3 linked regions of the Neurospora crassa OR74A genome follow. The protein of the gene in region 2 interacts with the protein of the main gene of each other region in a biochemical or structural test. Links are inferred from orthologs where the notes say so. Each region holds a gene or a part of one and is shown on either strand. Other genes may lie near its edges.

Region 1 (7,503 bases), on a different chromosome or scaffold from region 2:
CTCGCTCTCCTCCGAGTCGCTAGGGGGCAAGTCGCCAACCTGCACCGCGGCGGCCTTGGCGCGCGCGATGGCTGCCTCCTTCTTCGCCTTCTTTTGTGCTTTGAGTTCCTCGCGGGTCAGCTCAGCCTTGGGGGCCTTGCTAGAGGGGCCGGCAGCCTCGTCCTCGGAAGACTCCTCCTCGGAGGATTCCTCCTCGGATTCGGACTCCCTGTTCTTGCCGCCGCCGGCGCCCCACATGCCGACTTCGTTGCCATCGGCGTCGAGGGGGCGAAGGTCGCGAGAGAAATGGTGGCCACCTGGAAGGAAGGTTGGTGGTTAACAGACAGGATTGTAGCAGGTAGGGAGAGTACTGCTCCGGCAGCATCTGTGTTATTAACATACCTCCACGAGTGTACTTCTTGAACTTGCCGCCACGTCCACGACCAGCCGGGCCACTACCGCCTGCCATTTTGTCTTTGATCTTTGGCGGTATAGGATGGTTTTGGTTGAAAAGTTGGTTATCGACGGATTTCCGGTCGAGTGTCGTGGGTATTCAAGAAATTTGTTCGAATCGCGCGACGAATCGTAGAAATGGGTGTAACTACCAAAAAGGAAGTCGAGCTCGATGAGTCTTACAACAATGCGACAGAACGGCACAGCCTTTTTTACTCGAGTTTGTCGCAGAAAGTTAATGGGGCTTTCTGGGTGGGAAGACATCCACCTCCGACTTGAGAATCAATGCCCCGCAACACATCCCTCTACAGTATAAGGCAGGTACCCGACGTACAGTATGTACACCCTGAACGTTAGAGGTCTCGGTAAACTGTTCACTTGCTCACTGCAACACTGGCTGCAACGCAGGCTTACCCAACCGCCTATCTACAAGCCATGATTGGTCAGATCTCTTATCGCACCATAACTCCACTGCAAGCTACGAGGTCAGTGGCTAAGTTCCACCAATTCTTGCGTTTCGTAGCCTGTGAGGCGGTGCAGCCCGGCAGCTACTGGAGTGGCTTGCGTTTGCTTTAAAAGTCTGTCTCGGGCCGCCCAATTTTGGGATTCCTCTTTTTCTTTCTTTTTTTCTCTTCACAACACATAAAACATATGTTCCTTCATATTCACTCCGGTTTCCGTCTACTGCAATGACATTCTGGAGGGGAAAGTGGAGGATAGAAGAGAATTTTTCAAGCTCTTACCCTCTACCTTTGTTCTTCTCTGTCGAGGAGTAGAGAAATATTTTGCCTGGGACATTTCCACCCACTTCGCAAAACTCTTTTGTTATCTGAGAGTATCTGCCATCGATTTACCTGCGCACCTTGATCTGTCGCGCTCTTTTTGTCGCTGACGCGCCCATGTTGAAAACTCAATGAGCTGATGTTCTCATGAATGTACTTGTCTTGATCACTTACTCGTACTGTGGTGTCGAGGTCCGAACATCCATACCCGTTGCGCTCGTGCACATGGCATCGCGAGATGCAACCGGCGGACTGTCGGATTTGGGTGCCCTTTGACTCGTATGACCACTTCGACGGGCGACCATGTCGAGCCTTCAAATGGAATGTCCATGGCACATGTGTCACAAGCTGTTCCACGACGCTTTGGGGTTGTTAGAGACTGACGAAGGCTTCGGTTCATTACTTATCACCGCTTATCACGGACACAACGTAACTGAAGGCTGCCATAACTTCATTTTGCCGATATATACTTTTTTTTTCTAACCACTCCTTCAACGCCTTCCCTTTGGTGAAAGTGAAACATGTTCAAGGTGAATTCCTGCTGCGTCGGACTTTCTCCCTCTCATCGCATGCCCAAAAAAAAACATGATGCACCACACCGACATAAGTTCGACTGCCAGCGTAGCTTAACTCGGAACAGAGAGACCCCAGCGATACGTTCTTAGCAACATCATCGTCATAACCGCCGCATACTACTTACAAAGAAGCTCACATATGCCGGACAACTGGCTGGGGAAACGTAGCAAAACAAGAATTTTCGAGTCCCACAAGTCAACTCTCAACTACCCAACTTGATAACCACTACTCTACTTCCATCCGTCTCACAAGCTTCTCAACCCCCGACGCATGACCTTTTTGATTTAATGACCCTCCTTTTCCAGGGCCTCCAGCTCCTTAATCACAGAGCCCTTGGTGGCGATCTTCTTCAACTGGGTATCCTCCAACTTCTCACCACCAGCATGTCTCATCTCGAGATCCTCAATAGCGCGGATCTTCTTCTGAAGAGACCTGATCTTCTTCGCATTGGCGCTCTGGGCAGCCGCTGCGGCGGCGTCAACGACTGGGGCAGCCTGTTGAGCAGGGGCATTGGCCTGGCGCACGTTCGAGCGGCTGCGGTGGTTGTTCTGAGTACGGACAGCCAGGTTGTTGCTGCGCGACTGGCTGCGCGAGTGGTGACGCTGGTGGTTGCGATCGGGGCTGCGGCCGTCGACAGACTCGCGGGGAGGGGCAAGACCACCCTCGTTAGGAGTAGTCGCGCCCTCGCCCTGTGCCTGGCCCTCCTTGGCCTTCTTGTTGCGCTTCTTCTTGTTCTTCAAGGCAGTCTTGGACAAGTTCTCATCGTCCACAGCGGCGCCGGGAACAGAAGGTCTCGCTGGCTCGGCAAACTCGGCGCCAGGAATCTGGCGGCGCGGGCGGCCGAACCCATTAGGACCGACCTGAGGCACGCCATTGCTAACCGAGTGGGCGGCACCTCCCTCGTCCTCACGCTTGAAGTGAAGAGGAGTGGAAGAGCCACGGGCGCCGGGCGGGCGGTAGGCACCGACGGGCTTGGAAGGCGTCTTGACAGTGCCAAGGTATGCCAAAGCCGAAGGGTGAGGAGTGGGCACGGGGTGCAGCGGGTCAACGTTGGGAAGGTTGTTAGCAGGAACAGGGCGCCAGATAACGTTGTACAACTCAACCATGTCCTCGTTGTACATGATACCGCCACCAACGTGCCAGAGCTTGATGCCGTTGTCAACACGAAGACGGGGAGAAGTAGTGGCCGTCAAGATGTAACGGCTGTCGGGAGACCAGGTGCAGACACTGGGGTTACCGCTTTCGATGGTGGTGATCTTGCGATAATCCTTCTCAAGGTCGTAAACATCGATCTGACCAGCCAAGTTACCGAAACCGGCAACCAAGGCAAACCGGCCAGTAGGCGAGAAGATGATGGTGTTACGGGGGCCAAGAGGGAAGGAGTGGGTGGCGACGGCACGGTGGTTGAAGATGGTGGTTTTCGCGGGCATGTAGCCGTATACGACACCGAACTCCTTGGAGTTGGGGGACCACGACACATCGTGGATAGGGCCCTCCTTGTCAAGAGTGACGCGAGCGTCGAACGAGCCGTTGGCGCTCAGGAGGTACATGTTGGTCTCGCCGTAGTAGCTTTTGTTGGACTTGTCAACCTCTGTTTGCGCCAGCACAATCAGAGCAGTTCCGAGCTGGTTCCACTTGAGCTGGACTTTGTCGGCCTTGAAAAAGGTCTTTTGCGAAATCGGGCTGGTGAACTGGGGAACGTTGAAGACCTTGACGGAGGCGGGATGTCCCTGTAACCAACAGTTAGACGTTGATATAGAAAAGTGCGATGCATACGGGAGATCAGGTAACGTACCTTGCGCTCTGGGACGAAAACAGCAACGTTCTGGTTCTTACCGGGCGCGAGGGCAAAGTCGGAGACGCCCTCAACGCGCAGCTTGTTCCACACGGTGCCGAGATCGTTGCTGTTGTAGAACTGGACCTCGTTGGTGACGATGCGCGCGCAGAAGCGCTCATCCTCCGTGTACTGCAGGTTCCAGCCATTAGCAGACTTTTGGACGAACTTGCCAATGGGCTGCTTCTCAGCACCATCAGCGAGCTCCTCAATGGTGCGCCAGATCTTGAGATTCTTGGTAGCATCGCCATTCTCATCCTTGGCGGGGCGCTCCCAGGTGCTCAAGTAGGTACCGTGGGGGGAGAAGCTGAGTTCGTAGACGGCAGGGATGGGCAGCGAAGTCAAGACGTGGCCGACGGACGCGTCGACGATGACGACGCCCTCGTTAGTGGCGTAGGCAAAGTAGCGGCCGCATCCCGAGTAGACACAGCACCGGAGATTCCCTTCGGGCTTGGTGAATCCAGGAAGGGCTTCGTAGACAGGGTCGGCATCAAAGACGCCGATGGCCTTCTGGGTTCGGTAGGCGAGCTGCAACGGATTGGCCATGACTAGCGAAAGTCACAGGTGATCGCGGTTTGCAGAAAGCGGTGTGGGATTCGTTTCGTTACCTGGCTCCTTTTCCCGGGGGACTGGAGTCGTCGCTGCGAGCAAGAGGCGGACCTTTTTTTTTCGGTGTTCGAAACGGGTCACGCTTGGTGTCGAAGCTGCGAGAGGCGGAGCTCGTAAGCTTTGGTTGTGTGTTGGCGAAGGCGGAGTTGGGGGAGTATCGATCTGGCGCAACACAACAATGGTGATTGCGCAAAGGTAGAAACTCGACTGGCAGAAGCAGAGCAGAATTCGACAGTGCAACACAAAGCGACGCTTTTTCTTGCTGAGTCCTAGGTGGTGGTGGAAAGCGACTCAGGGACGGGGGGGCGGGAGGCGGAAGATATCAGATCTTGAATCGCAGGTTGCCAACGAAGGGAGACCGTGACGATGGGACAACAATGCGATGTTGCTTTGGACGGCGGCGAGGAACAAAGGGCACACGCCGTGGTGGAGATCCAAGAAGAATAAAAATCGACCGAATTCAGGAACGTGAACGATGAAGAGAAGCACCCTCAGGGAAGGAATTGGCAAAGGCGGTGCGAGTGTGGTTGACGGGGGGGAGAGGAAAAAAGAGGGGAGAGGTGGGTTAGGAGAAAGGGAGGAAAAGTAGGACAATGGAGAATGGCAGAGAAGGTGGACGCGAAGAAAGTTACGATACGGACGCGGTTCCACAGGTATCGTGGTTTCGGTTTTTTTGGTTTTTTTTCCATATCTCTTACCTACACTTTTTTTTTTCTTTTTTTTTTTCTTCCTTTTCTTTCGACATGTCACTGCAGCATCGATATTCAATTGGGCATTGGCACGGGCACTGGCCACCCGACCAAACAGCAGACGGGAGCTAAACAATGTGACGAGGACTGCACTAATGGGCAATATGACCGTAGAATATACACTTAAAAAAACACCTAGAGATAGTCCAGCAAGACGGCGCGGACGAGTTGTTCGCCTTCCGTTTGGGCGATCTCTAACTTTTTTGGAGGCTTTATGCATTTCGAGGTCGCGGCGGTTGTCCGTTCGCTGATTCAGACCTCTGCCACACGGACCTCTATTCTAGATTGGCAGCGGAGGACCTCGAGGGGACCGAACATTGAACAGCGGAGCCCCGCCGTGGGGCCGTGTTCCCTTCAGAGTCTCGGTGACATTCGGTGACAGACGTTAGTGACCGTACCCGTAAGCCCCGTAGGGACCAGGGCGAGCCTATCAGATGTTAACGGGCCCTATCACGGCGGCCAGCCGATCTCCAACACCCCCAACAGGTTGCGGCCCCCGGTGTTCTAGGCTTTGTTGTCCCTTGTTCGAGCCGCGGCAAGGGCCAGTCAGCGGCGCGCCAAGTTACGGCCAAGGCCCCTGCCCGATTTGCCTTTTCGTCAACGTCAACGTCAACGACATAGGACCCCGACGACGCTCAGGACAAGAGACATCGGACCGGGGGCGACGTCCACCACTGCGTTCTCTGCTCAACTTGCCATCCTAACAGACCTGAGGTTATCCATTTTTATGACCTGTTCCATTCAGGTGAGGTTTCGGCACCACTTTACTCGATGCTCTATGGCACGAAAGTTACACCCAAGTGAAACTACCGAACTCCAGCTTGGTCGTTCCTGGAGAACATTTTCAGAATACACGCGCCATCACTTCCGCATGCCCTGCCAAATGGAGGATCTGTGGGTAAAGGTAGTGATACCCTTCTTGATGGCTGGTGCTGTCCTTCATGTTAGGTACCTAGGTCTATTCTACTACCTCTAGGTTCAGACGTCCAAGCAATTGTGATACACATCCTATGATACCAGGAGAGCCACAGTACGGTCCTTTTCGTCTCTTCGCGAGGTACTATACACTCACTACAAACGATCCTACCACGCGGTCCATGTTGTTTGCTTTCCATGTTTTCCGCTTGCCCCCCGTAAACAACGGGCCCTTTTTTTTTTTTTTTTTTTTTTTTTTTTTTTTTTTTTTTTTTTTTTTTTTTTTTTTTTTTTTTTCCTTTCATGTTTCTATCCCTCTATAATGCTGTTTCCCCATATAACACACGGCAGTTGTTTCCAGCTTCAGTCAAAGCACACCAACACACTCTCGCTGAAGCAATCCGGGCATGAGCAATTGCTGGGTAAAATAGTCCAGGTGTTTTATGCACGCCATAACTTCAATGTTGATGGATACATGACAAAACGGACAGTTTCCGGTTTCCTCTATCAAGTGAAAGTTGCGGCTGCCTGTATGGTGACCGTCGATGGAGTCCGGATGAGGACTGACTGAACGGCATGAACACTGCATCCCTAACACGGAGGATTGATGCCAAGCATGGGAAGAACGGGAAGAGCTGTCGATTTGCTGCAGGCAAGTGCAGATTGCTGTACTTCGATGTAAGTAGAGGTAGGTAGGCAGGGATAGAGGTAGAGGTACCAAGGTATGGAGGGCTAAACTGTCTCGGTGCCGATGTCCCAACCGCACCTTCCTCGTTGCATGGAGAGCCGCATTTGGGTTTGGGATACCTCTAGGTCATGAGGTGCAACTTCCATTTGCGGTTCTTCCATCAAGTAAGTAAGAAGCCTTCGCTGCTGGGGCTATGACGAATACTGTACGCAGCTCGTCTCAGCAACATCATTCTCCATTTTCTTCCAGAAAACATCACTTAGACGTACTCCATTGGCCCAGGTATGTCCGGGCCTCCTTCGTCGCCATGTTAGAGTTTCAATGGACAAATTATTGACTTGGCCGGCCACAGGTTATCTGTTCTCGGTATTCCTTATAGCTACCATTGGACTTTCGTTCAGTGCGAACTTGGGACTGCGCATTCGAGGAGTGAATATCGAGCATCTTGATGCCCCATCTTCACTTTGGAGGGTTGTCAGCAGACAGCACGGTTTCATAAACATCTCCGCCTGGATATCGTTGTTCTTGGTAGGTTTACGTCCGAGCCGAGGACGGGTTCAAATCATGCAAAAGGTCGAACAGGCCGAAAATCGAAACAAGGCAATACGTTGTCAAAATTTCCGGTCAGGTAACTTCGACTTACAGCTTACGGCCCGCAGCGGAGGTCCAGCGGTGACAGCCAGACACGGTATCTGAGGCGGGAGGAAACAAATATACAAGCAGTTGTGTCACCCGCGTCCTCTGTCAGCGCGCCGGCGGTTCGGCACGGGGTTTTTGACGGACCTTGCAAAGTCGCCCGGAACCGATCCCTAGGTGACTGCAGCTTGAGGGAAACCATCCCTTCACCTCCAGGCATCCGCCTTTGCCACGTTTGCGCCAGCTTTCCATCGACCGCCTTTGCTTGCATCTTCCTCCTCG
Region 2 (7,400 bases):
CTTCGGGACGGGCTTGGCGAGCTGCTTCTCCCAGTTCAAGCTGAAGCCGACCGCATGGCGCTCTTCAAACCGGTTGCCGATCTTGGGACGATGTTCCTTAATCAAGCTGTCGTAGCGGCCACCGGCGGCGAAGACATCCTTGACCTTTTTGTCGTACAGGCAAGAAAAGAGGATGCCACCGCGGAAGAAGGCTTCGTTGATGCTGCTTAAAGGGGCAATGTAGATTTTGTTTTGTACTCCGAACCGCTTGGTATATTCGTACACTTCTTTGAGATGGGCCAATGTTGATGAAGCCTGTTGGTAGTATTCCGTTCCTTCGAAAAGAAGCTTGATCTTCGCGATGGCCTTGCTCGGGGTATCTAAAACAAGTGGTTAGTTGATGGCGTAAGTATGTTCGTGGTGTAAAGTCACACTTACCTCTGAAGTCAAATCTCTGCAGCTCGTCTACGCTGGTTGCCGATATACCCACCATGGGTGATCTAAGCTCTCCACGCACCTTTTGCCAAGTGAAATTGCGAATGTTGAGCTTACTGAGGACCTCAGCAGCAGCCCTGCGTGTGCCCACTTCCACGCCGCAGTACTCAAAGATAAGATTCAAGAGGTCCGAATGCCCCAGCTGGAAGCAGATGGGAGTAGACGACACAGTAGGGAACGCAGTCGCAATCTCATCCAGAACTTTGATGACCTCGGCCTCTTTCAAGGCAAGGTCTAAGGCGTCTGAAGTGACAATGTCAAAGTCGACTTCTCCGTACACATCAGGCTGACCACCGCCGTGACGATCACGGAATATGTTGCCAAAGGAGTATGACTTCTGAACAACGGGGCTGTTCGTGATCCTTGCGAGAGAGCGAGCATGGCCCATCATGAGATCGAAGGGCAACTGAAGAACCGTACCATTCTGGTCGAGGAGATGGACCGCGTTTTGGCCATAATGCGAAGAGCTGGGATACAGACAGACCGTAGGAGCCTCAACCGCACCGTGTCGCCGGAAGATGGATATCAAGGTGTCCTTGACGATGAACTGTCGCATGAGTTCTTGGGGTGATGGCCCAGATGAAGACATGTCCCAAGCGTAATCCTTTGCTTGTTCGATTGGCCTGGAGAATAAAGTTTCGAGCATCTTTTGGTAGTAAGGTGAGTTGGGATCCGACAATCCAGCAATCGCACGCCGTATCGCCTCGCTTTCCATCTGAATCGGAAGCTTGCCACTCTTCATAAGCTCTGAGCTCGAAGGGCGCTCTTTAGGGTTGTGAGTCAGCAGTGACAACAGGACCTCGAGATGGTTTTTATCCATATGTTTGAAGTCAGCGGGCAAAATGGGAGGGGATTGGCGCAGCTGCTCAAGGACCATGGCGCGCTGCATTCCAAGCATGGGAGGGTACGACATCTCGAAGAAAATCACGCCCAAGGAATACATCTAGGGATGATGTCAGTCTAGTCTTGCAAGGAGGATGGGAAAAACCTACATCCACCTTTGATGTATAAGAGCCGCTGCCACCCGTCCGGACCTCAGGGGCGACATAAACTGCTGTGCCAATGCTCCTGGTCATGTCGCTTGCATCCAAGCTTGCTGTTGACCTGTCTATCGCCAACTGTCCGCTAGTGGCCAGCCCAAAATCGCCGATCTTTACATTATCCAGGCCGTCAGGTCCAGAAGAGATGAAGATATTCTCGGGCTTGAGGTCACGGTGAACGATGTTGAGGCTGTGAATGTGGCAGAGCCCTTCTAGAATTTGGCGGAATAAGCGCCAGATCTCAGCTGTTTCCTTAGACAGATTCCGAGAAATCAAGTCGCGCAGTGTCTATAGAACTGTCAGTGTTGCCATTCGGATTTTGGTTTTGGCATAATGGGAACCTACCCGCTTCTCGCAATACTCCATGGAAATATACATCACGGTCTTGTATGGGCGAGCACTTCCCCGTCGAGGACGCCGTCCTGTGACACCAAGGTGGTTCTTGCCGCTTACAGTGGCAGCATCGTCATTTGAGTCATTGTCGGATTCATCCTCTTCATCGTCTTCATCTTCGTCGTCATCCTCTTCTTCACTCGAGCTGTAGTCGTACTCAATGCCCGGGTGCCCACTGGAGGACATGAAATCTAGACCTCTGCTTTTGCTCTCGGCAAATTCAATATTTATGCCGTGGGATATCGTGACCTGAGAGTTGTCTGTAACGTCTGTAGCGCCGCCTTCGGTTGAAGTATCGCCTTCTGTGTCCGCGTAGTCCGGCACCTCCTCCAGCCATGTATTGTAGTATCTGACAACAGCCGGATGGTTCATCTGGGAAAGCAGTCGGACTTCCTTTAGGATCTCTGAAAGTGTCTCTTGAGACCTTTGTGTGATTTTTTTGATGGCGTATAGGTGTCCGTCAATCATCTTGCGGGCTCGGACAACCTCTCCGAACCCTCCTTTTCCAAGACGAGCCTCTTCCACATAGTCCTGTCGGTATCTGGAAGACATGGGTCCGCGACTCATCGAGTCGTGCCTCATCCTCTGCGGGGTCATTTGCGGCATGGGCATCAGGGAACCCGGCACAGCAATGTCCTCGTCATCGATAATGGGCGCATTGGTAGCAAGGAATTCGCTTGAGCTCAACTCAAAAGCCCGCGGCCGCTTCTTGGGGTCGGACTTGAAGAACTTGGAGACCAGTTCTTCCAGCGGAGCCGACAAGGAAAGAGAATCCATCAGTGCGGAAGGCGAATGATACTTTTCGACAACATCCAAACCGAAGATCATCTGAAGAAAGACGATGCCAAAGTCCCAGACATCGGTCTTTTGAGTGTATTGAGGCTTCGTTACACCTGCAATTTCGGGCGGAAACCAGTATGCGGATTTGGCGGCTTTTGAGGATGTCAGCGTCTTTATCTTTGTACAGAGGTTGTGAAGCTCCCTCTGATAAAAAGAATCAGTGATTTTAGGCACTATATCCCCCGCCTCGTTTCTGTAGAGGAGAATGTTGGCTGGGTGAAGGTCTTGATGAATGATTCCGTTGTTGTGTAGGAATGCAAGTGCTTCCAGAAGGTCGGCCGTCCATATCTTTGCCTTGTTGGTGTCAATATGGCCCGCTAGATCGAGAAGCTCTTCAATGGGCCCCTTGGTGGCGAGGGGCGTCAGAATGCTGACGGTCCAGATGGTCGGCGCAGAAGAATCGGTGTCGCTGATGCCTCGATCGATCCTGAAGTCAAGGAAGGGAAGCAGATTCTGATGGCGAAGCTTTTTCAGTGTTTCCATCTGCGACTCTAGATACTGCAGCTGCTTCTTGAACTGAGCCGAATCCTTTCCGTGTGACTTGACTTCTACTTGCTTCAAGGCTAGGCTAGGGCGCACTGTTCTGGCGGACAGGACTGGTTTGACCTTGTAGACGGTGGTGATGGGACCTTCGCGAAAGACAGTTTTGCCAATGACGGTTTGGAAGAACAAGGCATTACCAGAGCCATCAGTGATCTTGCAGGGCTGATCAAACATGAGCGTCTCGTCAGTCTCGCCGGGATCTTGCGGAGCACGGTCAGGGGATAATTGATGGCTCCTGTTCTTCTTTCTGGATTCTTTTGCTTTATTTCGCTGGCGCTTGAGCTCTTCCTGGAGCATGTCTTCGAGGACTCTTTCTTCCTCCTTGCTCTCTTCGAGCTTCTTCCGTTCCTCTCGCTCCTTTTCGCTCTGCGCTAACCTTGCCAGCTCTGCTTCGTGGGCTGCCCTCTCCTCTTCCAAGGAGGGGATCTCCAGCCCCTGGACCTTTTTCTGAGCGGCTTCCTCCAGGATATCGCGGATCCCTTCGACAATCTGGTCTATCATCTCCTGTTCCGCTTGCGCATAGATCTTTGGTTGTGTCTCCACAAACTTTTGAATCTTGAACTTGGTCGACTCTCGGAGACTGTGGTCATCCTTGATGGTCAGCAGTGGAGGTGTCTTTGGGTAAGTTGCCACCATGACCACGCCCAGTGTCACTGAAAGCTCTTGGTCAGATGAAGGTTTAATCTTGATGTCAAAACGGGGTTCCGATTTCTGGACGTCTGTCAGTGAACAACATTGTGGGAAGAGAAGAGATAAGATAGATCTTACCTGCCATGCCCCGTGTGCTGCTTCATGTTGGGTGAAGTCCTCTCCATAGATGGCCTGCAGCACCATGACTTCACTCTCCTGGACTTCCTGATAATGAGTCTTTGCTGGTGGGGTTTGCCCCGGGGCCTTGAGCCCCGGGAAAGTGGTGTTGCCTTCATTGTTCTTCTTGGGGGTTTGTTGTTGGGCAGGCTTCTTCTTGCCGGCAGGTTTCTTCCACGCCATTATTGCGAGACCCGGTTCTGCTGGGCAGAGATGCTTGTTATTAATCAGTGAGTCTTGTTAGTCGTTGTGGAAAGGGGGTTGGTCTGGTATATTAGGCCTTATGCAACGGACACAGCCGAGATGGCTGCGAGACTTCACTGAGCGGAGCCCATCTTTTCTCGTGGTAGACTGGGTTCAGATGCGGGAAAGGGAAGACAAGGTGGAAGGGCAAGGGTGAAGGTTGGGTGGAAACGAAGTGACGTGGTCAACGGTCGCGTTTCCAAAAGTGAGTGGGAGCAGAGGAGATGGATGGATGTAAGATGGGTGAAGTGGACAAGTGAGTGGGTGACTCGTTGGATGACTCCAACTGTGACTTGGAATGGAAATGAAGACCCGTGAAGGTCCCCAACAACAGGATGGTCCAGAGCCCGAGTCCACGACAACAGCATCCATTCCGCTGTTCAGCTCGAGCCTGGCTGATAAGGTTCCCCCAGCGAGTCCCGATAAACTAAGTACTTTGTTAACTAGGAAGTTCCCACCGCTGTGAGCGGGTACGGGCAGTCCAGTACTACCTACCTCACGACATATGTAGTGTACTTATCTTCACAGCAGGTGCCTAGGCTAGGTATGTAGGTAGCTGGGTAGCGGGTTCCAGGTTCTCAAGGTTCACCGGCCGAGGGATGGATGGACCGTGGCGAACACTTGCAAGTGGGGTCGGAGCAAAGAATACATGATAGAGGCACAAGTGGAGACCCTGCAGTAGGTCCCACTTGGGAATCTGAACCTGAATTGAGATCTTTGCCGCGCTCCCGTCTGTTTGCTTGGAACTGAATGGCACTGGACCACACTGACAGGACGCTGAACGGATGGATGGCGGGACGAGCCATCAGGTCAGCTTCATCCATCCCGTTCGTCCTCCACTTCTCATCCCGATTCTCATTGGCTCCCGTCTGTCCTGTTCAGGGAAAGAGTAAACAAATCACCCACTCGCCCATCAAACAGGATTAGTTCTTCCACTCCCATTGCTCTCGACTCAGCTGCGACACACAACTGCAGCCCGCGAATCCGATCCCATTCTTACCTCTACAACCTCCATCACCACCATCAACCAATTCTCCCACCTTATCGCGCGAATCGTATTCGAGGGGCCTATTTCCCCCATCGCCGACCGCCCAGAGTATGCTGCGCTAGACCTCGCTTCAGCTTCTTCATCCATCGCCGACCGACACAATGATTAGTTGGGCGTTGCGGCGAAACAATAACTCGACTGCGCAAAATGCACAGGGCGCACCCGATGCCGGTACGGTTGCAGGCCATTGCAGGAGCCTCAGCGCATTTATTCCTCATTGTTGAGTCTGACCATTTGGCCCAGATGAATCTACCAACCAGCTCGATGTCCCCGATACTCCAGCGCCGGTCTTCGCTGTGCGCGCCTTGAAGACTGCCTTGTTCGGCACACCCGCCAAAGATTCGAAGAAAACCGCCCCTATGCCCGGTCCTCATCGATCACCGACGAAACCGAACGGCATTCTCTTGACTCCAGGCGTCGGCGCAGCCCGTCGCAAACGCGTTTCCTTTGGTCATGGCGTTAAGGCGGGATCGGCCCTGGATTTGACCGCGACGGGCGGCCTTGGCACTGACGGTCAGGCCTCGAAACCAAAGACCCGATTGACCGAAATTCTCGAAAATTCACGGACCAGGCCGCAAACCGCAGATACTGGTGTCAAGACGTTTTCGGCCGAAGATGCATGGGATGAAGATGATGTCGAGTATTATGACGACTCGGATCTCGAAACAGATATCACAGATGCCACAGTCGATCTCAACGAACCACACTCGCGTTCTGGAAGGTACTGGAAGGCCGAGTTCGAAAAGTATCACGCGGATGCGAGGGCGGAAATGGAGAAGCTGGTTAGATACAAGCAGCTCGCAAAGTCCTACGCCAAACTGAAAGATGCCGAGGCCGTCGACTTGAACAAGAAGCTCAAGGAGGAACAGGAGAGGGTCCAGCAAATGGAGGAGCAAATTGCCGAGATGACGCGCCACGTCAATGTCTATTCGAAGCGAGGTGGTGTCGAGCCCAACAACGGCTTGATAGAAGAGCTTAATCGGCAAAAGGCTTTGGCGCAAGAGTACAGGGCCCAGGTCGAGGAATTGGAAGAGATACTGCGCGAAGATGAAGAGGATCATAATGACTATCAGGCCGGGAGCCATGCTTCATACAAACGACGGATTGCATCGCCAAGAACTCATCGGACACTTTTGGAGGCCCAGCGAGAGCTTAGGAAGGCTAGGTCACAGGTTAGGGAACTTGGAAAGCTTCGGGACGAGCGGGGCCGAATGAAGACTGAGCTAAAATTCGCCGAGCAACGAGCCACCGCACTCGCCGAGGAGAATAAGAAACTCAACAGTGAGGTGGTGCTGAGCAATTTCAAGGTCAAGGACTTGGAGAAACGGCTGGCCGAATCCAAGAATGAGAATCTGGTAAAGGACAATGAACTTCAAAAACTCAGGGCAGATTATAACAAGTTGAAGGAGGACGCCAAATCCCGATATGTCGAAGCGAGGGAAGTTTTGGAAAAGAAGAACGACAAAATATCCGAACTTCAGCAGGAGATTGCAACCCTCAAGGCAGAGACGATCGAGTCCAAGTGGGCGGCGCGGATGAAGAACCTGGAGGCGAAATTGAAAGCGAGCCACGACAAGGTCAAGGAGGCAAATGACCGAGAAGAAGCACTCAAGTTCCTGGAATCGGCCGAGGAGGAGAGCACATTGCTGTTCAAGGAGCTAGATGCTCTCAGGAAAACAAGCATCCAACGAGGGCTTTTGGCTCCCGCACCAGCTGCCGGAGCCCAGAAAAGAATCAGGACCATTACGGGCGACATCAAGCGGTACAGCTACGAGGACGATGCGTTGGTTTCTTCTCGTGCGTTTCGAGAGAAGGTAGAGGCAGACATGGGCAAAAAGCCTCTAGGATTCGGTGAAGCCGCGAAGCAACAAGCACCTTCGTGGACGACCAGCCAGCCTGAGCGGGCAGCCACCTCGCATAGGACAACAGCAGGGACTACCACGACAGCCGGCTCATCTGCCGCTGCCAGGACTCTCCGCACAAAGTCCAGCTTGGAGGACATTCTAGGCAAG
Region 3 (6,507 bases), on a different chromosome or scaffold from region 2:
CTCTGGTAACAGGAAAGGAAGGAAACGAGGCAGCCTTGAGCGCCGAGACTGTTGCTCTCAACGCCAGCGCAGTCTATCTTTTGAATGCCGGCGAGGAGATACCCAAGCCTCTTGCTGATGCCTACGTCAAGGGGCTTGGCGAAAAGAAGCTGCCTGTCAGACGCACTTGGATCCTTCGCGCTGGTGATATTCTCTATGCCTTCAACAAGGAGAGCCAAGAAACTCTGCCAGCCAACTTCATCAAGTTCGCCGAGGCTGTCGTTACTCCCCTGGGAACTACTTTTGCTGAGGTCGTCGCGAACCCTGCGACTGCTGCCCAGAACGGTACTGTTACCGGCGCTCTTGTTCTTTGCGCTGTCGAGTCGCTGATTCGGAGGGCGGAGAGCTCTACCTTTGAGGCCGTCTACAAGAAGGCCAATATCCAAAAGAACAGTTTGGCCGTTAATCCCAAGCCGTCCTACCTGTTCAACCCCAGGATATACGGCAAGTTTGCCGATGAGGATCTCAAGTGGCTGACCAGCGCCTTGACTGCTGTTGCACCTTTCCTCAACGGTGTCGGTCTCCCGGAGAGGGTTGCCTGGGCTCAGGCTTTCATCTACGTTATTAGCTCGGCTGCTACTGGCCCCGATGTCCGCCGCGACGCCATTGACGCTCTTTCCACCCTCTATGCTCAGTCCTCCGCCAAGGCCGAGGGGCCATCAGCTCTCCTCGCCGAAACCATTGTCGAAGGTCTTTGGCACTGGATTGAGGCGACCGAGGCAGCTGACAAGGAAAGTGCGGCGGCTTTGGCCAAGACCGGAACCTCCAACCTCCACCTCGTCCTCAAGGCTATCTGCTTGAAGCCCGAGGAGTACCAGAAGCGTGCTGGTGCGGAGCCTGACAAGACCAAGCTCGAATCCCAAATGTGCTCTCTGCTTGTCCTTGCCAAGTCACAGCTCATCCCCAGAGCGAGCTGGATCGATCTCTGCTTGAAGGTGGAAACCGATCCTGGTGAGCTTGCCAGGAAGTACGAGCAGCGTTTGCTTGATGAGATCGTCAACAGGACACTCTACGAGCAAAAATCCGAGGCGGTGAGACTGGCGGCATACAATGCTGCTGCTGAGCTTGTCTTCGTCGCCCCTGAGACCATGACTCCTCGCATTGTTGACCTCATTCAACAAAACCTCAAGGTTTCCGAGGTCCAGTCCGTTGGCCCTCTCGAGGCGGCCATCTTCCGTACGCCTGAAGGAACCGCCTTCGTCGATGTGCTGGCCAAGAAACAGAACGTCGTTCCTAACAAGAATGATCCCAACTACCATACCCTGAAGTGGGAGGAGGAGCTTCGTGAGCAGATTGCTCAGAAGAAGGGAGTGCAAAAGAAGCTTACAGCGGAAGAAAACGCCAAAGTCAATGCCCAGCTCAAGAAGGAAGCGGAGATCCGCGAGAGCGTTAGGCACGTCGCGGCCAACCTCTTGCGTGGCTTTGGCATTGTCAAGGCTCTCGCTACTGGTCCTCCCACTGATGCCAGCCGCTGGATGGGTCCCGCGGTCAAGGCTACCCTTAGTGTCATCGATGCTGGTGCAACTCTCATCACCGGTGAGGCCGGTCCTCTGGCTTTCATCTCCTGCTCAGAGTGCGTCACGTCTCGTGTTGGCCCTATCCGCCCCTTCATTGGTGTCGCTACCCTCAGGGCGCACAATGTTTCCGCGCTGCCTGAGAACCTTACCGAGGAACCTTTTGACGATCTTATCACTCGTGCTCTCTATCGTCTCAGGTTCGCCGGTGAGCAGCGCCCGTTCGATGTCATCTCACTCATCTACATGCTCCCGCTCATCCTCCTCGTCCTCGAGAAGGGTGGCTTCGGTTCTAATGCCGATGACAAGGATGCCACGCTCGTCCTGGCCATCGAGTTCCTTTCCTTCCACACCGATGTCTATGCTGACGAGGCCACCCCACGCGCTGAGATTCTTTCCACGTTGATCACCTCGATGCAGAACTACAACCAGCACTACAAGATCATCAAGGACTGCTTCTCCGACATGGTCCGCTGCATCGCTCCCAACATTTCTGCTGAGGAGATTGCCGTCCTTTCCCGCGGTGCCATTGTGCCTCAGGTCGCCGTTCGCACTGCGGCTCTACAAGCCATCAGTTCTGATGTTGACATGAGCGAGCTCTCCACCTCGGAAGAGATCTGGCTTGCTTGCCACGACGATGTCCCGGAGAACGCTGACCTTGGTCGTGATATCTGGGAGGAGAGCGAATTCCAGGTCACCGAGGAACTTGCCTTCAAGATGCTGCCCTACTTGGAAAGCAAGGATGGCCAGCTTCGCCGTGCCGCTGCCAAGGGCCTTGCTGAGGCACTCGGGCAAAACCTCTCTGCCGTCAACCCCATCCTTGAGAAGCTGAGGGAGTCCTACACTGAGCTCGCCAAACCTCGTCTTCCCGAGCTTGATGAGTTTGGCATGCCCAAGAAGAAGGACCTTTCTGACCCCTGGGAAGCGAGACAAGGCCTTGCCCTTGCCTTCCAGGGTATTGCACCATTGCTCCAGAAGAACCAGCTCGAGCCTTTCTTTGCCTTCCTCATTGACAACGGCCCCTTGGGTGACCAGAACGGTAACGTCAGAGCCCAGATGTTGGAGGCTGCCAACACTGCCATCGAGATTCACGGCAAGTCCATCCTGGACAAGCTCATGAAGACTTTCGAGAAGACCCTTGAGGCTCCCGACAAGGGCACTGCTTTCGCGGATCGTGTCAACGAGGCTGTCATCATTATGTACGGTGCGCTGGCCCGCCATCTCAAGCACGGCGATGCCAAGATCCCTGTGGTTATTGACAGGTTGATTGCCACCCTGAGCACCCCTTCTGAGACTGTCCAGTATGCTATCGCCGAATGTCTCCCACCACTTGTCCGCACCTGCGGAGACAAGTCCAGCAAGTATATCGAGCAGGTCATTGAGACTTTGATGACTTCCAAGGATTACGCTGTCCAGCGTGGTGCCGCCTACGGTCTTGCTGGTCTTATCCTTGGCCGTGGTGTTAAGTCGCTTAAGGAGCACCGCATCTTGATCACTCTCAGAAGTGCCCTCGAGAACAAGAAGGAGGTCAACCAGCGCGAGTCTGCCATGATTGCTCTGGAGCTTCTGTCCACCATCCTCGGCAGACTCTTTGAACCCTACGTCATTCAGATCGTTCCGCAACTGCTCGCTGGCTTCGGTGATAGCAACCCGAATGTCCGTGAAGCCGCGTTGCATGCTGCCAAGTCTTGCTTTGCCAAGCTCAGCTCTTTCGGTGTCAAGAAGATTCTCCCTACCCTTCTCGATGGTCTTGACGAGGACCAGTGGAGATCCAAGAAGGGTGCTTGCGACTTGCTCGGTGCCATGGCCTACCTTGATCCCCAGCAGCTGGCTCAGAGTCTGCCGGAGATCATTCCTCCCCTTACCGCCGTCTTGAACGACAGTCACAAGGAGGTCAGACTTGCCGCCAACAAGAGCTTGAAGAGGTTCGGCGAGGTTATCGAGAACCCCGAAATTCACAGCCTTGTCGACATCCTGCTCAAGGCTCTCAGTGACCCTACCAAGTACACCGACGAAGCCTTGGACGCCCTCATCAAGGTTCAGTTCGTCCATTACCTTGATGCCCCCTCGCTGGCTCTCGTCAGCCGTATCCTACAGCGCGGTCTCGGCGATCGTTCCAACACCAAGCGCAAGGCTGCGCAGGTCATTGGCAGTCTTGCCCATCTCACAGAGCGCAAGGATCTTGTCGCTCACTTGCCTGTTCTCGTTGCCGGTCTTAAGATTGCCATCGTCGACCCCGTGCCGACTACTCGCGCTACTGCCTCTAGAGCCCTCGGATCTTTGGTCGAGAAGTTGGGCGAAGATGCTTTGCCGGACCTCATTCCGGGTCTTATGCAGACCCTCAAGTCCGACACTGGCGCCGGAGACAGACTTGGTTCCGCACAGGCCCTTTCCGAGGTCCTCGCTGGTCTGGGTACTTCCAGACTCGAGGAGACTCTGCCTACCATCCTGCAGAACGTCGAATCCTCCAAGCCTGCTGTTCGCGAGGGTTTCATGTCGCTCTTCATCTTCTTGCCCGTCTGCTTCGGAAACAGCTTCGCCAACTACTTGGCCAAGATCATTCCTCCTATCTTGTCTGGTCTTGCTGATGATGCCGAGTCGATTAGAGAGACTGCCCTCCGTGCTGGTCGTCTGTTGGTTAAGAACTTTGCCGTTAGAGCTGTCGATCTCTTGCTGCCCGAGCTTGAGCGTGGTCTTGCTGATGACAGCTACCGTATCCGTCTCAGCTCCGTCGAGCTCGTTGGTGATTTGTTGTTCAACCTTACCGGTGTCAAGGTCACTGATGGTGAAGATGAGGAAGAGGATATCGAGACTGTCAAGGAAGCCGGTGCTTCTCTCCGTGAGATTCTCGGAGAGGAAAAGCGCAACAAGGTCCTGTCCTCGCTCTACATCTGCCGTTGCGATACCTCGGGTGCCGTCCGCTCCGCTGCTGTCAGCGTGTGGAAGGCTCTTGTCCACAGTCCTCGCATTCTTAAGGAGCTTGTGCCCACTCTCACTCAGCTCATTATCCGCCGTCTCGGCAGCTCTAACATGGAGCACAAGATCATTGCCAGCAATGCTTTGGGCGAGCTGATAAGGAAGGCTGGCGACGGCGTTCTGGCGACACTCTTGCCCACTCTCGAGGAAGGTCTCCAGACCTCGAGCGATGTCGATGCCAGACAGGGTATTTGCCTTGCCCTCAAGGAGCTCATCGCTTCTGCCTCTCCCGAGGCCCTCGAGGATCACGAGAAGACGCTCATCTCGGTTGTGCGTACCGCGCTTACCGACCGCGACGAAGATGTCAGAGAAGCCGCCGCCGAGGCCTTCGATTCCTTGCAGCAGATTCTCGGCAAGCGTGCTGTCGAAGAGGTTATGCCCTTCCTTCTCACCCTTCTCGCTAATGAGGAGGAGGCTGAGAATGCTCTTGCGGCTCTGCTCACCTTGCTCACCGAGACTACTCGCTCCAACATGATACTGCCCAACCTCATCCCCAGCCTTATCAAGCCTCCTATTTCTTCCTTCAACGCCAAGGCGTTGGCTTCGTTGTCCAAGGTTGCCGGCGCGGCTATGAACCGTCGTCTGCCCAGCATCATCAACTCGCTTATGGATAACATTATCAACTGCACTGACGATACTCTCCGCGAGGAGCTTGACGAGTCGTTCGACACTGTCATCCTGTCCATCGACGAGTACGACGGTCTCAACATGGTTATGCAGACCTTGCTGCAGCTTCTCAAGCACGACGATCACCGCAGAAGAGCGTCTACCGCGTTCCACCTGTCCAAGTTCTTTGCTTCGGCCGATGTGGACTACTCGCGCTACAACCAGGATATCATCCGCTCTCTCCTGCTCTCGTTCGATGATAGGGACATGGACGTGGTCAAGTCTGCCTGGAGCGCGCTTAGCGAGTTCACCAAGAAGCTTAGGAAGGAAGACATGGAGAACTTGGTCATCTCTACTCGCCAGACCCTCCTCCAGGTTGGCGTTGCCGGCGTCAACCTGCGCGGCTTCGAGCTGCCCAAGGGTATCAACGCCATTCTCCCGATTTTCCTGCAGGGTCTTATGAACGGCTCGGCAGATCAGAGAGTGGCTTCGGCCCTTGCCATCTCGGACATTGTCGACAGGACCAGCGAGGCCTCGCTCAAGCCGTTTGTCACGCAGATTACCGGTCCGCTCATTCGTGTCGTTTCCGAACGTTCTACCGAGGTCAAGTCCGCCATTCTGCTTACCCTTAACAACTTGCTTGAGAAGATGCCTACGGCGCTCAAGCCCTTCCTGCCGCAGCTGCAGCGCACTTTTGCCAAGTCGCTCGCAGACACATCCAGCGACGTGCTCCGCAGTCGTGCCGCCAAGGCTTTGGGTACTCTTATCAAGTTTACTCCCCGCGTGGATCCTTTGATCGCCGAGCTGGTGACGGGCTCCAAGACTTCCGACGCCGGCGTCAAGACGGCCATGCTCAAGGCCCTGTACGAGGTCATCAGCAAGGCCGGCGCCAACATGGGCGAGGGCTCTCGCACCGCCGTCCTCGGTCTTATTGATACCGAGGCGGACGAGCGCGACGACACCATGACCATCACCTACGCCAAGTTGTTCGGTGCCCTTGTCAAGAACGTCTCGGACGAGGTGGCTGCCCAGCTTCTCAAGAACAGAGTCCTGACCAGGGACTTTAGCAACTCGAGTGTTCTGGCTTTGAACGCCGTCCTGCTGGAGAGCCCTGAGACCCTCTTGGAGTCTTCGTTGGTGGATGACTTGCCTGAGCTTTTGTGCCAGGGCATGGCAAGCAAGAACGTGAGTCTTTCCTTTCCCTTCCCCACAGCAGCCTTTTTCACCTCCCCTTCCATCTCTCTCCCCATGTAAGCAAGGACCCTAACTAACTCATCCCCAGACCTTCATCACCGAGAACTTCATCCTCGCCACGGGCAAATACCTCCTCTCCCCCGTGCCCAAATCCTTCGAAGCAACCAAACCCCTCTTC

What was found.
Region 1: of the proteins of cpc-3 (region 2) and NCU06099, one has a biochemical effect on the other in vitro, tested with the Saccharomyces cerevisiae proteins (3 studies listed by BioGRID). The link is inferred for Neurospora crassa OR74A from reciprocal best matches to the Saccharomyces cerevisiae genes GCN2 and YGR054W.
Region 3: the proteins of cpc-3 (region 2) and NCU05803 form a complex in vitro, tested with the Saccharomyces cerevisiae proteins (3 studies listed by BioGRID). The link is inferred for Neurospora crassa OR74A from reciprocal best matches to the Saccharomyces cerevisiae genes GCN2 and GCN1.

What each region holds. Positions count from the first base shown.
Region 1 is NC_026507.1:1,794,857-1,802,359, forward strand, and holds NCU06099 (hypothetical protein), read right to left. Parts: upstream 4,928-7,503; 5' UTR 4,171-4,927; coding exon 3,586-4,170; intron 3,521-3,585; coding exon 2,075-3,520; 3' UTR 1,086-2,074; downstream 1-1,085. Other genes in the region: NCU06101 (hypothetical protein), read right to left, coding at 1-296, 382-448; NCU06098 (hypothetical protein), read left to right, coding at 6,714-6,749, 6,849-6,867, 6,938-7,113. UniProt on the Saccharomyces cerevisiae protein: Functions in the early steps of protein synthesis of a small number of specific mRNAs. Acts by directing the binding of methionyl-tRNAi to 40S ribosomal subunits.
Region 2 is NC_026505.1:3,166,612-3,174,011, reverse strand, and holds the start of cpc-3 (cpc-3 protein), read right to left. Parts: upstream 4,907-7,400; 5' UTR 4,836-4,906; intron 4,768-4,835; 5' UTR 4,281-4,767; coding exon 4,059-4,280; intron 4,002-4,058; coding exon 1,860-4,001; intron 1,803-1,859; coding exon 1,467-1,802; intron 1,418-1,466; coding exon 418-1,417; intron 360-417; coding exon 1-359. Other genes in the region: NCU01186 (hypothetical protein), read left to right, coding at 5,490-5,559, 5,632-7,400. UniProt on the Saccharomyces cerevisiae protein: Metabolic-stress sensing protein kinase that phosphorylates the alpha subunit of eukaryotic translation initiation factor 2 (eIF-2-alpha/SUI2) on 'Ser-52' in response to low amino acid, carbon, or purine availability.
Region 3 is NC_026507.1:3,882,273-3,888,779, forward strand, and holds part of NCU05803 (translational activator GCN1), read left to right. Parts: coding exon 1-6,320; intron 6,321-6,417; coding exon 6,418-6,507. UniProt on the Saccharomyces cerevisiae protein: Ribosome collision sensor that activates a translation quality control pathway when a ribosome has stalled during translation. Directly binds to the ribosome and acts as a sentinel for colliding ribosomes.